2 linked regions of the Oryctolagus cuniculus genome follow. The protein of the gene in region 1 interacts with the protein of each later gene in a biochemical or structural test. Links are inferred from orthologs where the notes say so. Each region holds a gene or a part of one and is shown on either strand. Other genes may lie near its edges.

The links. The genes of interacting proteins can lie anywhere in the genome.
Region 2: the proteins of HDAC6 (region 1) and PRKCA form a complex in vitro, tested with the Homo sapiens proteins (2 studies listed by BioGRID, with this or other methods). The link is inferred for Oryctolagus cuniculus from reciprocal best matches to the Homo sapiens genes HDAC6 and PRKCA.

What each region holds. Positions count from the first base shown.
Region 1 is NC_091453.1:33,986,258-33,991,009, reverse strand, and holds the start of HDAC6 (histone deacetylase 6), read right to left. Parts: upstream 3,243-4,752; 5' UTR 3,175-3,242; coding exon 3,031-3,174; intron 3,009-3,030; exon of another isoform or gene 2,881-3,008; intron 2,869-2,880; exon of another isoform or gene 2,756-2,868; intron 2,679-2,755; exon of another isoform or gene 2,467-2,678; intron 2,381-2,466; coding exon 2,258-2,380; intron 2,168-2,257; coding exon 2,039-2,167; intron 1,894-2,038; coding exon 1,805-1,893; intron 1-1,804.
Region 2 is NC_091448.1:12,520,549-12,525,347, reverse strand, and holds the start of PRKCA (protein kinase C alpha type), read right to left. Parts: upstream 3,097-4,799; 5' UTR 2,867-3,096; coding exon 2,694-2,866; intron 415-2,693; coding exon 383-414; intron 1-382. UniProt on the Homo sapiens protein: Calcium-activated, phospholipid- and diacylglycerol (DAG)-dependent serine/threonine-protein kinase that is involved in positive and negative regulation of cell proliferation, apoptosis, differentiation, migration and adhesion, tumorigenesis, cardiac hypertrophy, angiogenesis, platelet function and inflammation, by directly phosphorylating targets such as RAF1, BCL2, CSPG4, TNNT2/CTNT, or activating signaling cascade involving MAPK1/3 (ERK1/2) and RAP1GAP.

The DNA.
Region 1 (4,752 bases):
ACATACAGTAGCATTTACTTTTGGTTTGAACACTGTCCTTTTAAGAAATTAAACTAGACTCAAGTAAAAATTATTTTTATTATCACTTACTTTTATTGGAAAGTATTTCAAATTCATAATGGATGTTTTCTGAGTTTTGTCATCTATTTTAATGTTAAAGGTTCTTTTGACACACAAGTAGAGTGAAGAGTGTTCCGCACATGGGAACAGTGATTATAAAAAGATGACATAACATATGAATTGTGTCTTTTTTAACTGAAAAGCCGACAAATTGTCTAGTTATATTTCTCCCCCTAAACAACCACATACCATGTAGTAACTGAGTCTTCTAGGCAATATATTGAAAGCTGAGAGGATTAAAAATAAGATCAAGTCCTCAGATCCAATTAAGGGAGCCCTGCTACATGCAGGCTGATCAATATCAGTGGCACTGACTGACCACGTAGCTGCAAGACATCCTAATGGCCCCACTCAGAACATTTATTTCACGTAGCCTCTTTCCTTTCCAACTCATGAATAAAGATAATATTGTCTCAATTCTATGTCAGAAAGCTTTTTGGAAGTTGTTTTTTTTACAATGCCAACTTTTAAAAGATCATTCAAGTTAACTGGACAATAAACTAGGCAGAAATCACTTCGGTTTATACGTTGACTCTCTTCTCTGGTCCCCCATGAAGGCAGGATTTTTTTGTTTTGTTTGCTGCTATATCTCTAGCTCAACAGATGGTAAATATATATCCCTTAACAAAGTCTTTCACCCTCATGAATTAGTGTTAGGTTGGGCCAGGGGAGATAGATACTAATCTGGTTAACACCTAAGTATAATAATTAACAAACAATGTCACGGGCTAGGAAAACATCTAAGATGGGGGGCGGGGGAGGCAGGGCAGCATGCAGGCAGAACCTTCTTTAAGAAAGTCTCCTTAAGATATGATAGCTGGCTGGGAGAGGAGAACTGGGCTCAGCCAGAGTCAAAATTCAAGGCCAGAGGGTACCTAGCATGTTGGAAAGAGCTGTGAGAGAACTGGTGTGAGTGATGTTGAAGGGAAACAAATGAGGGGGAGGACTGGCTGATGAGGTCGCAAAAGTAATGTGCAGCTGGGTCACATGCAACTTCAGAGGCCAGAGTGAAGAATTTGGACTTTACTTTGAGGGCAATGGTCTGTCCTTGAAGTATTTTTAGAAAGAGAACATCAACGCATGCATATGTTTTTAGGCTTCTGTGTGAACATGAGGCATGAGGCTGGCAGCAGGGGACCAATGAGGAGGACTCTGCAAGTCTAGGTGGGTGATATCAGTGGAAGTAGTGAGGGGAGGTCAAATACTAAATATATCTCAGACACAAAGTCAAAAGTTGTTGATCCTTTTGAAACACAGGGTAAATAGGATGTGTGATTCTTCAGTTTCGCACAAACGCCCCTTCCTCAAGGATGGCTTCTTGCTAGTCTAGGGTCCTCTACCCAACCCTCTTGGATCCCCTAGTCTTAAGTCCATCTTCATTAAACAACGCACAAGCCACTGTTGGCAGCTTAACGGTTGACCCTCCTACTTACTGATCAGCTTCCTGAGAAAGGCCCCTGCCTGTCTTGTTTGGTACATTTCTCTCGTCAACTCTAGGCACACAATAGGCACTCCATAAATGTCTGGTGGTTAAAAGAGAACCCTTTCGCCCGTGAGCCTTGCCTCCCTAAGTCATCTGCTACCAGTCTCCAGGCTGGTGTAAAGAAGCCTTAGTTCTTGCTAAGGGGCTCGAAGTGTGTGTATCTGCCCCTGTTTGGGCACTGCCTGGAGGACCCCGCCTCACCTGTCATCCCAGAGGCAGTGGAATTCATTGAGCTGATCATCGAACACCAAACCAGTGCCAGCCGGCGTCTTGGCCTCAGAGTCCAGATCCTGCAGCGGGGGGGAAAGAGGAGGGAGGGAGACACAGATCTATCTGGGGGCCTGAGTCAGAGGGAATATCCCATGCTGTCCAGGGTGGGGAACCTTGGGGTTTAGACTGTCACAGGAGGCTAAATCGCGGCCAGGCCCCTCTCACCAGCTCTTGCAGCCCCGTGATTAGGTATTCTTCAGCTGCTTGGCTGAGCTTCTTCATTTTGCCTTTCTTCTTTATCTCTAGCAGGTTGGGACTGCAGCGAGGTAAAGCGCCCTTCTTAACACTTCGTTTCTGCCAATCAGAGAGAAGGGTCAGAGTCCAGCGTACGGATGGCTGCTCCCTCCCCCTCTCCCTCTCATCAGGGCAGGTCTGGGGCCTCACCGGGGTGCCGCTGGAGTCGTGAGGGGACGACTGGGGGTTGTGCCTACTCCTTCGGGACCTGGCTGTGGTGGACTCCGGGCCAGTGGAGGACATGGTGGGGGAGATTTCGGCCCTGGTGCGGTTCTGGGAGGGGAGAGGGGGTGGGGATCGTGGCTGCGAGGCTGCCGGAGTGTCCTGAGGACCCCGCCCCCTAGCCTCGGCTCCCTTACAATATCTCCTTCCCCGCCGCCTTCTCAACTCTGCCTCTCTCCAGGCCCTCTGCCGCCACTGAGGTGTCTATACCGCCGGGTGCCGCCCGTGCCACCAGATCCGCCCCCTTTCCACGACTCTTCTTTTCCTCAGTCTTGTCGTTTCACTGAGCCTAGAACCCCCTCGGATCAGTTCGAGCTAAGGCCTGCCCTTCCTAGCCAATCACCGCCCCTTTCACTCTACCAAGCCTCACTCCCTTAAACCCTTTCATTCCTCTAAGCCTCGCCCAGATCCCGGCCCTCCACAAACCTGCCTTTCCCGGCCTATCACCCGGGATAATCACCCACCCTTTCTCTCAGCCAGACCCAGCCCCGGCCTCGACTCCACCCTTAACGATTACTTGGCTCCACCCCTCCTCGGGCCGGCCCCGGTACCTTCCCCTCCGCCAGATCACGCCCCTAGCGTTTCCACAAACCCCGGCTCCTCACCGCCGCTTCCTTTCCCCCCCGCCTAAACCCTACCCCTAACGTTTCGCCAAAACCCCTCAGCCAGTCCCGAGCCGCCTCCCGCCGGCCTCCGCCTACTTCCCGCCCTTGCTGTCGATGCCGGCCAATTCTTCCAGAGCCGCTCTCTAGGCGCGGCCCACTACTCAAACTCCGCCCTCTGCGGCCGCCGCCAACTTCTCGACGACCTGTGGGGCCGCGGGTGCCGGAACTTTTCGTTTCCATTGGGCCTGCCCCCTCTTACTGCCCGCCCACGTCCCGCCCACAGCGGGGATGGTGCCTCAGGGCCGCACGCCTCGCGAGGGCCAACGTGACTTCAGGCCGGCGCGTCAGAACGCAACGCAAGCCGTTTGTGCGCGTATAAAGTGCGCGCCAGCGCTCTGAGGCGGTGCTCTGGCTCACCCTTGTCCCTCCCCGCGTCGAAGCCCCTCCCACCGTGCATGCCCCTGGCTGCTATGGTCACTGTCCCCTCTGTTTCTGTCCAGTCACTTTACGAACCCTCCGGACCGGCGCCAACTGTGCGGCGCGGTGATTCGGAGAGCAAGCGAGAAAACGAGGGAGTTAGGAAGGAAGCGTGTTTTGCCGTCTTCCCGCGGTTTGCTGCGCGGCGCGCGGTGATGACGTAGCACAGGCGGGCTAGTGTATGGGCTGAGGGCGAAGTTGGTAGCCACAACGGGAGTGATAAATGTTGTCAGGCCTTTCTAAGTTAATGTTCTCGCGGTGGCACACAGGAAACACCGAATGTTAGCTATTAATATTCTGCCGCAAAATGGGCCCTGGCGTGGAAGCGGTCTTAGTGGAAGTAACAGTAACGTTCATTAATGTGATGGCGAAAGGCATTGTCAAAACAGTTTTAGGAGGTAGTTCCCATTGTTAAGGCTGTTTTGTAGATAAGCCAGCTGAGGTTACGGGCTTACCCATGTGACCTTGAACAAGTTGCTGAAACAGCTCTGCTCAATTTCCTCATCTGGAAAATGTGATAATCATAGCGCTTGGGGTACTCGGAGGCGGCTGCTCGCCCTTTCTGTCCCCTGCAGCGGGTAACCTTGCCCCCAAGCTGTGTGTGCCTAGCAGGTAGGGGGAGTTGTCCCTGTGTCCGCTCCCCACCCCCCACAACTTGCACCCTGAATCTAAATAGCCCCCGCAGGAGGCCAGTTTGTCCTAATCTCCCTCCCTCGTTCTCCACCATTTCCTACCGGGCTGTAAGCTGGGGCCGGAGAGATAAGCGGTCTGGGGGTTCAGCATCGCTGAGTAACGAACAGATTGACAGCCCTGCCACCCAGTAGTGGGGCCCTCTGATCGTCTTGAAGACGCCCGTTCCAGCCTCCTCTTTTGCTTTTTTCCTGCCTCAACATGACTTGGTTCAGAACAGGAGGTTCACAGATGGAAGAACTTTAAACCTCTATACAGGCGAAAGAAAAACACAGTAGTACACGCTGAGGAACATTCTGGGGTTATTATGCCTGCAAAGCAATAGACTAGGAAGTCTTGCAAAGGGTCAATGCCCATTTTTCTTTTTTCTTTTTAAAGATTTATTTATTTATTTATTTATTTGAAAGAGTTACACAGAGAAAGGAGAGAGAGAGGTCTTCCATCCGTTGGTTCACTCCCCAGTTGGGCACAATGGCTGGAGCTGCGCCTATCCGAAGCCAGGAGCCAGGAGCTTCCTCCCGGCCTCCCACATGGGTGCAGGGGCCCAAGGACTTGGGCCATCTTCCACTGCTTTCCCAGGCCACAGCAGAGACCTGGATCGGAAGTGGAGCAGCCAGGTCTTGAACTGTTGCCTATATGGGATGCTAGCAC
Region 2 (4,799 bases), on another chromosome or scaffold:
TGAGTCCAATCCAACACAGAGGTAAAAGGGATACAGTACAAAGAGGAGGAACAAGAAAAAAAAGTCACATGAATACAAAGTGATTCCTTTTTTTCCCCTCAACGCCCACACAAAGACGGCAGTTTCTGACAAGAATGTTCTCAGCAAAAATAAAATCACAGGAATTTTTCAAAATGAGTAAAAGGCAGCTCTCCATATCCATTACTAGACAATACTGGTTGACTTTTAGAAAAGGCCCAAACTTGGGGCCCTTGTGTTTCAAGAGGTTATTTTATTTATTTATTTATTTTTTACATCACAAAGGATGGCCGGGAACACATTTCGTGTCTGCAGTGCTTACTTCATGTTGTACTTGAAAATAAAATCCAGTGAGACAGCTTACCTTGGCACTGGAAGCCTTGCTTCCCAAACCCCCTGAAAAACAGAAACAAGAATAAAACAGCTTAACAGAGTCTGTGTGGCATAGCACATTTTAAACAAGCTATAGGACAAAATGTTCTACAGAGTTAAAGGTTTGGACCTCCTATCTGGGGAGCTGCTAGGAATGACATGTCCAAGTACCTGGCGAGATCACGGTACAAATTCAACTTGGAAAAAAGTCTCTCTCACCTAGAAGGGATCCAAGAAACATCTCATCACATCAAGCCTCTTTCCAGTTCTTTTCACTCTGTTACTGACACTTAAATTTCAAGACAAGAACATGACAGGGATAATCAAGTAACCAAGAGGAGGTTATAGACAGAGCGGAAAAGGAAGTGGCTGAATTTTGTTCCTAGGGACCAACAGAGAATTGTTTTTCTCCCTATAGAGAGTTAAAGAGTGGCTTATGGGAGTTTGGCTAGCGCTAGACACATGATATTTTAACCAACAGCACCACTTTTAACATTTAATTTTGGCTGGTGGAACCAGATTTTATGAAATATTATCCCTACTGTTTGCATCTCAGATTATCATGATCTAATTTTTAACAATTTACCCTGCAAGGACAAACTCCTCAGTTGCAAACATTGTTCCCCTAGGAACGAACTGCACTGAAATTCTCAGGAGGTCCTCGGTTGTAATCTCTTGCTTTACATAACATTTGAAATGTATACAACACTTCACATACCTTCATACTTAACTTAGGAGTTCTTCCCCCCCCCCCAAAAAAAAAAAGAAAACTGCACATAAATCCAAATATCTAGCCTTAAAATATCAGTGCTGTAATACTGAAGTAAAATCAAGGACCCACCGAAGCAATACTGGAAGAAAACTGAAAATCAAGAACCAACCTTTCCCTGGTATTCCCCGGGGCTGCCTGTTAGGTGTGGACGCTGCCAGGTGCACCCAGGGCGGGCAGAGAGGAGCCCTTTCCTGTCCAGGGCACACTACACCCGGAGACCTCGGTGCCGCATCCGCTCCAGCCTTCGGGGCAGCACAGCGCAAAGACTAGTCAGCCTGCCAGCCCCACCGTCCCTCTTCCAAGTTACCCACTTCGGGCAAAAGGAATCGCCGGCAGTCCCTTCTCTTTTACGCAACCTCACAGCTGACCCTGCAGGCAGCAGCCCTCCGCCTGGGCAGACGCGCCCGGGCGCTCCAGAAACTTATTTTAAGCAGCCTTATCTAGGATTCCCTACTCCTGTGAGCTCAACTCCTCCATATGCGGACTACTCGGTGGAAACCATTCATAGAGGTGCTGTACTTTTCCAAAAAGCCTGTATTTTTAAGCGGATTTCTGAAAAGGCAAAGGTCAAGCCTAAACACCCCATTAGCAGCACTTTCAGAGAGCTCGCCTGTTAGCACCTTTTCCCCCAGGTGTGATGGGGTCAGACGCAGCCAACCAGGCAACGCCCACCCCGGAGCCCCCAGGACACGCGTGCCTGGGAGGGGAGCTGGCTGGTGCCAGGGCACGCCCTGGGCACCTGGGGGCGGGGGGACTAGGGAACCCCAGCCGCAGCCCTGGAACTGCCCACCGGTGTCCTGAGGCAGAACCAACCACTGCGACCCCGAGGGTAGGACCCGGGGAAGACGGGCCCTTCACCTCGCGCTCCCTGAACTTCCCGGGGGTGGGGAGGCCGAGGACCTGAGACCAATGGTGCCCTTTCCAGCTATGGATCCCGCAGGTGCCCCAAACGAGCAGCGGCTGCGTTTCTTGGAAGTCACCTCACTCCGGCACCTTTAGCCATCGGGGTATTTTTCTTAAACAAGGCCTCTGTCCTCCTCCGCCGGGCTACAGGTCTAATCTCGTGTTGACAGGGTCTATTTAAAAAAAAAAAAAAAAAAAGACTCCCTCTGCCCTCCTGCCACTCGCCTGCTCCGCTTCGACCCCCTCCCCCCACCGCGAGCTTCCAACAGTTTGCTCGCTCTCCTGTTTCTCCCCCACCCCGGGCTCACCCAAGGGAGAGAAAGTCTCCGCGCGCCCAGCAGAGCCCGGCTCCGGGAGCCAGGCAGCCGAGGGCAGCACAAACACACGCCCCCGAGCGCGCCCGGGAACTCCGCGCCGCCGCCGGCTCCCTGGTCCTCTGCCTCCCGCCAGCCCGCGGCCGGCTCGGCCGGGCCGGGTGCGCCCCGGCGAGGGGAGAGGCCCCGGCCCGGGCCCCCTCCCGCGGCAGAGCGGCGCGCGCGAGCCGAGCCGGCCCGGGCGAGAGTTGGGACTCCCGCCGGCTCTGCAAGTTGCCCGAGGGCGGCCGCCCGTGCGCCCGGCGCGCACCTACCAGATGAAGTCGGTGCAGTGGCTGCAGAAGGTGGGCTGCTTGAAGAAGCGCGCGATGAATTTGTGGTCTTTCACCTCGTGCACGTTCTTCTGCCTCAGCGCCCCTTTGCGGGCGAAGCGGTTGGCCACGTCCTGAGACGCCGTGGAGTCGTTGGCCGGGAAAACGTCAGCCATGGTCCCCCCCAACCACCTCTTGCCTCCGCCGGGGAGCGGCAGCCGGCGAGGGCCGGGGTGGGCGGGGGCGGGCGGGGGAGGGGCGGCGGGGCGAGGGGCGACCCCGGGCGCGGGGCGCGGGCTGGAGGCGGCGGCGGCCGGGGAGAGGCGAGCGGGCGCGGCGCGGAGCCGGAGCCGCTCGCTGGCTCTCTCTCGCTCGCTCGCTCGCTTGCTCGCTGGCCCCACGCTCACTGACAGCCCGGCGCCCGGCGCTCGCGCTTCCTACTCGCGGCGGCGAGGCGGCCCGGAGCGGCACCGCCCACTGCGCATGCTCCCCGGGCTGGAGCGGCGGCGCGGGCGCGCGCGGGCTGGAGCGGGGGCGCGCGCGCGCGGGGGCTGCGCTGCTCGGCGCGGGCGGGACAGGGGCGCTGGAGCCCAGGCGAGACGGCGGCGGCCGCCGGCGGAGGACTGCCCCGCGCGAGGGAGCCGGGAGGGCCCGGCCGGCCCTTCGCTGCCCTCTCTCTTCCTCCTCCCGGCGCTCCTTCCTCCTCGTTCTCCTCCTCTTCTTCCGCTCCGCTCGCCCGGCCTCCTCCTCCTCTCTCCGCTTCTCCTTTTCGGGATCGGGGTTCTGAGCCTCCCGGAGCCCCCTTCCCCGTCTAACCGCGCCGGTTCGCAGTTGCACCTGGCTGCAGCGCCAGCCCCCGCCCCCGGGCACAGCCCCCAGAGCTTCAAGCTGCCCACAGGTGGCCGGAGAGAGAGGAGCAGCCTGAACCTCGGGGCCCTGACCCTCTCCCCCTCCCTCGGCCGTTGACGGACTTGTGGCCCACGGGTTGTGGAGGCGTCTGCTCCAGACCTCAGGCGTGCCCGCCACCTGGGATCGCTGGAGATTTGTCCTGCGAGTTCACCGGCTCCCAGGCTTTCTTGATTTTACAAGTCCAGAGCCTTAATTTAGAAACCATTTTGTATCCTAAGCTAATTACTGCAATAGTGGCAGGTGCAGAGTGCAGCCCGAACATTTGTAAATTACCGAGTGAGAGTGCTTGTGGAAGAGTGGCTGGCATGGGTATGCGAAGGACACACGTGGCAATGTACCAACTAATCACTCGCTGAATATTCAGTAGGTCTGCCTGGAAGACACTAAAACAGAAAGCAAACAACCATCTCGCAGCATTTCATTATTGTTTTTATTTGCCAGATTCACTAAGTTCACAAAACAACTTCACAAGGTGAAGACACCAGGAAAGAGAGCTCATTGCCGAATCCTGCAAGAAACTTTTAAAAAGACAACTTTTCGAAGCTATAAACCACCTTGGAGAGAGTGTATCATCCAGACCACCACTTTGATTTTTTGCAAATACCTTTTAATTGTGATGCTGGATAATAGGGATTGTATTTACATTTTAACGAGTGGAGGCTGTGGGCCGGCCATTAGTGGAGCCTGCATTTGGCTGACCCATTTATGATCCCGTGCACCAATGCTGATGCTTCGACACTGCACCTGCTTAGCATCCTCTCTGGTCAGAAATTCCACCACTCACGGCAGCGCTTCCAGCCCAAGGACTCAGGGAAAGAAGGAAGAGCAGGGCCTGTTGGGAAAACAGATCCAGTTCATCGCCAAACACCGCCAGTGTCTCAAGCCACGGTTGTTTATTGCTTAATAATCATCAATCAAATGGAGCACAGCAGAGTGAAACACAGCTTCCTCCCAGAGCCATCTTTATCCAGGGCAGAGGTCCCGCTGCATCTGATGAAGATAAGCTTCTCTGTCTCCACCTCCCTCCCCCAGGGCTTTGACGTTTGCAGGGTGAACCTGCTGTCAAAGCCCTGAGCCACGTCTGGGGAAGCTGAGCAAGGGTTACATGGGCTTGGGCAGCAGCCGTGCCAGCTCCTACGGAAAGAATGGAGCACCTGCTTCCAGCTGGGAGGAGATGGGAGGGGCTGTGTGTCTCCTCTC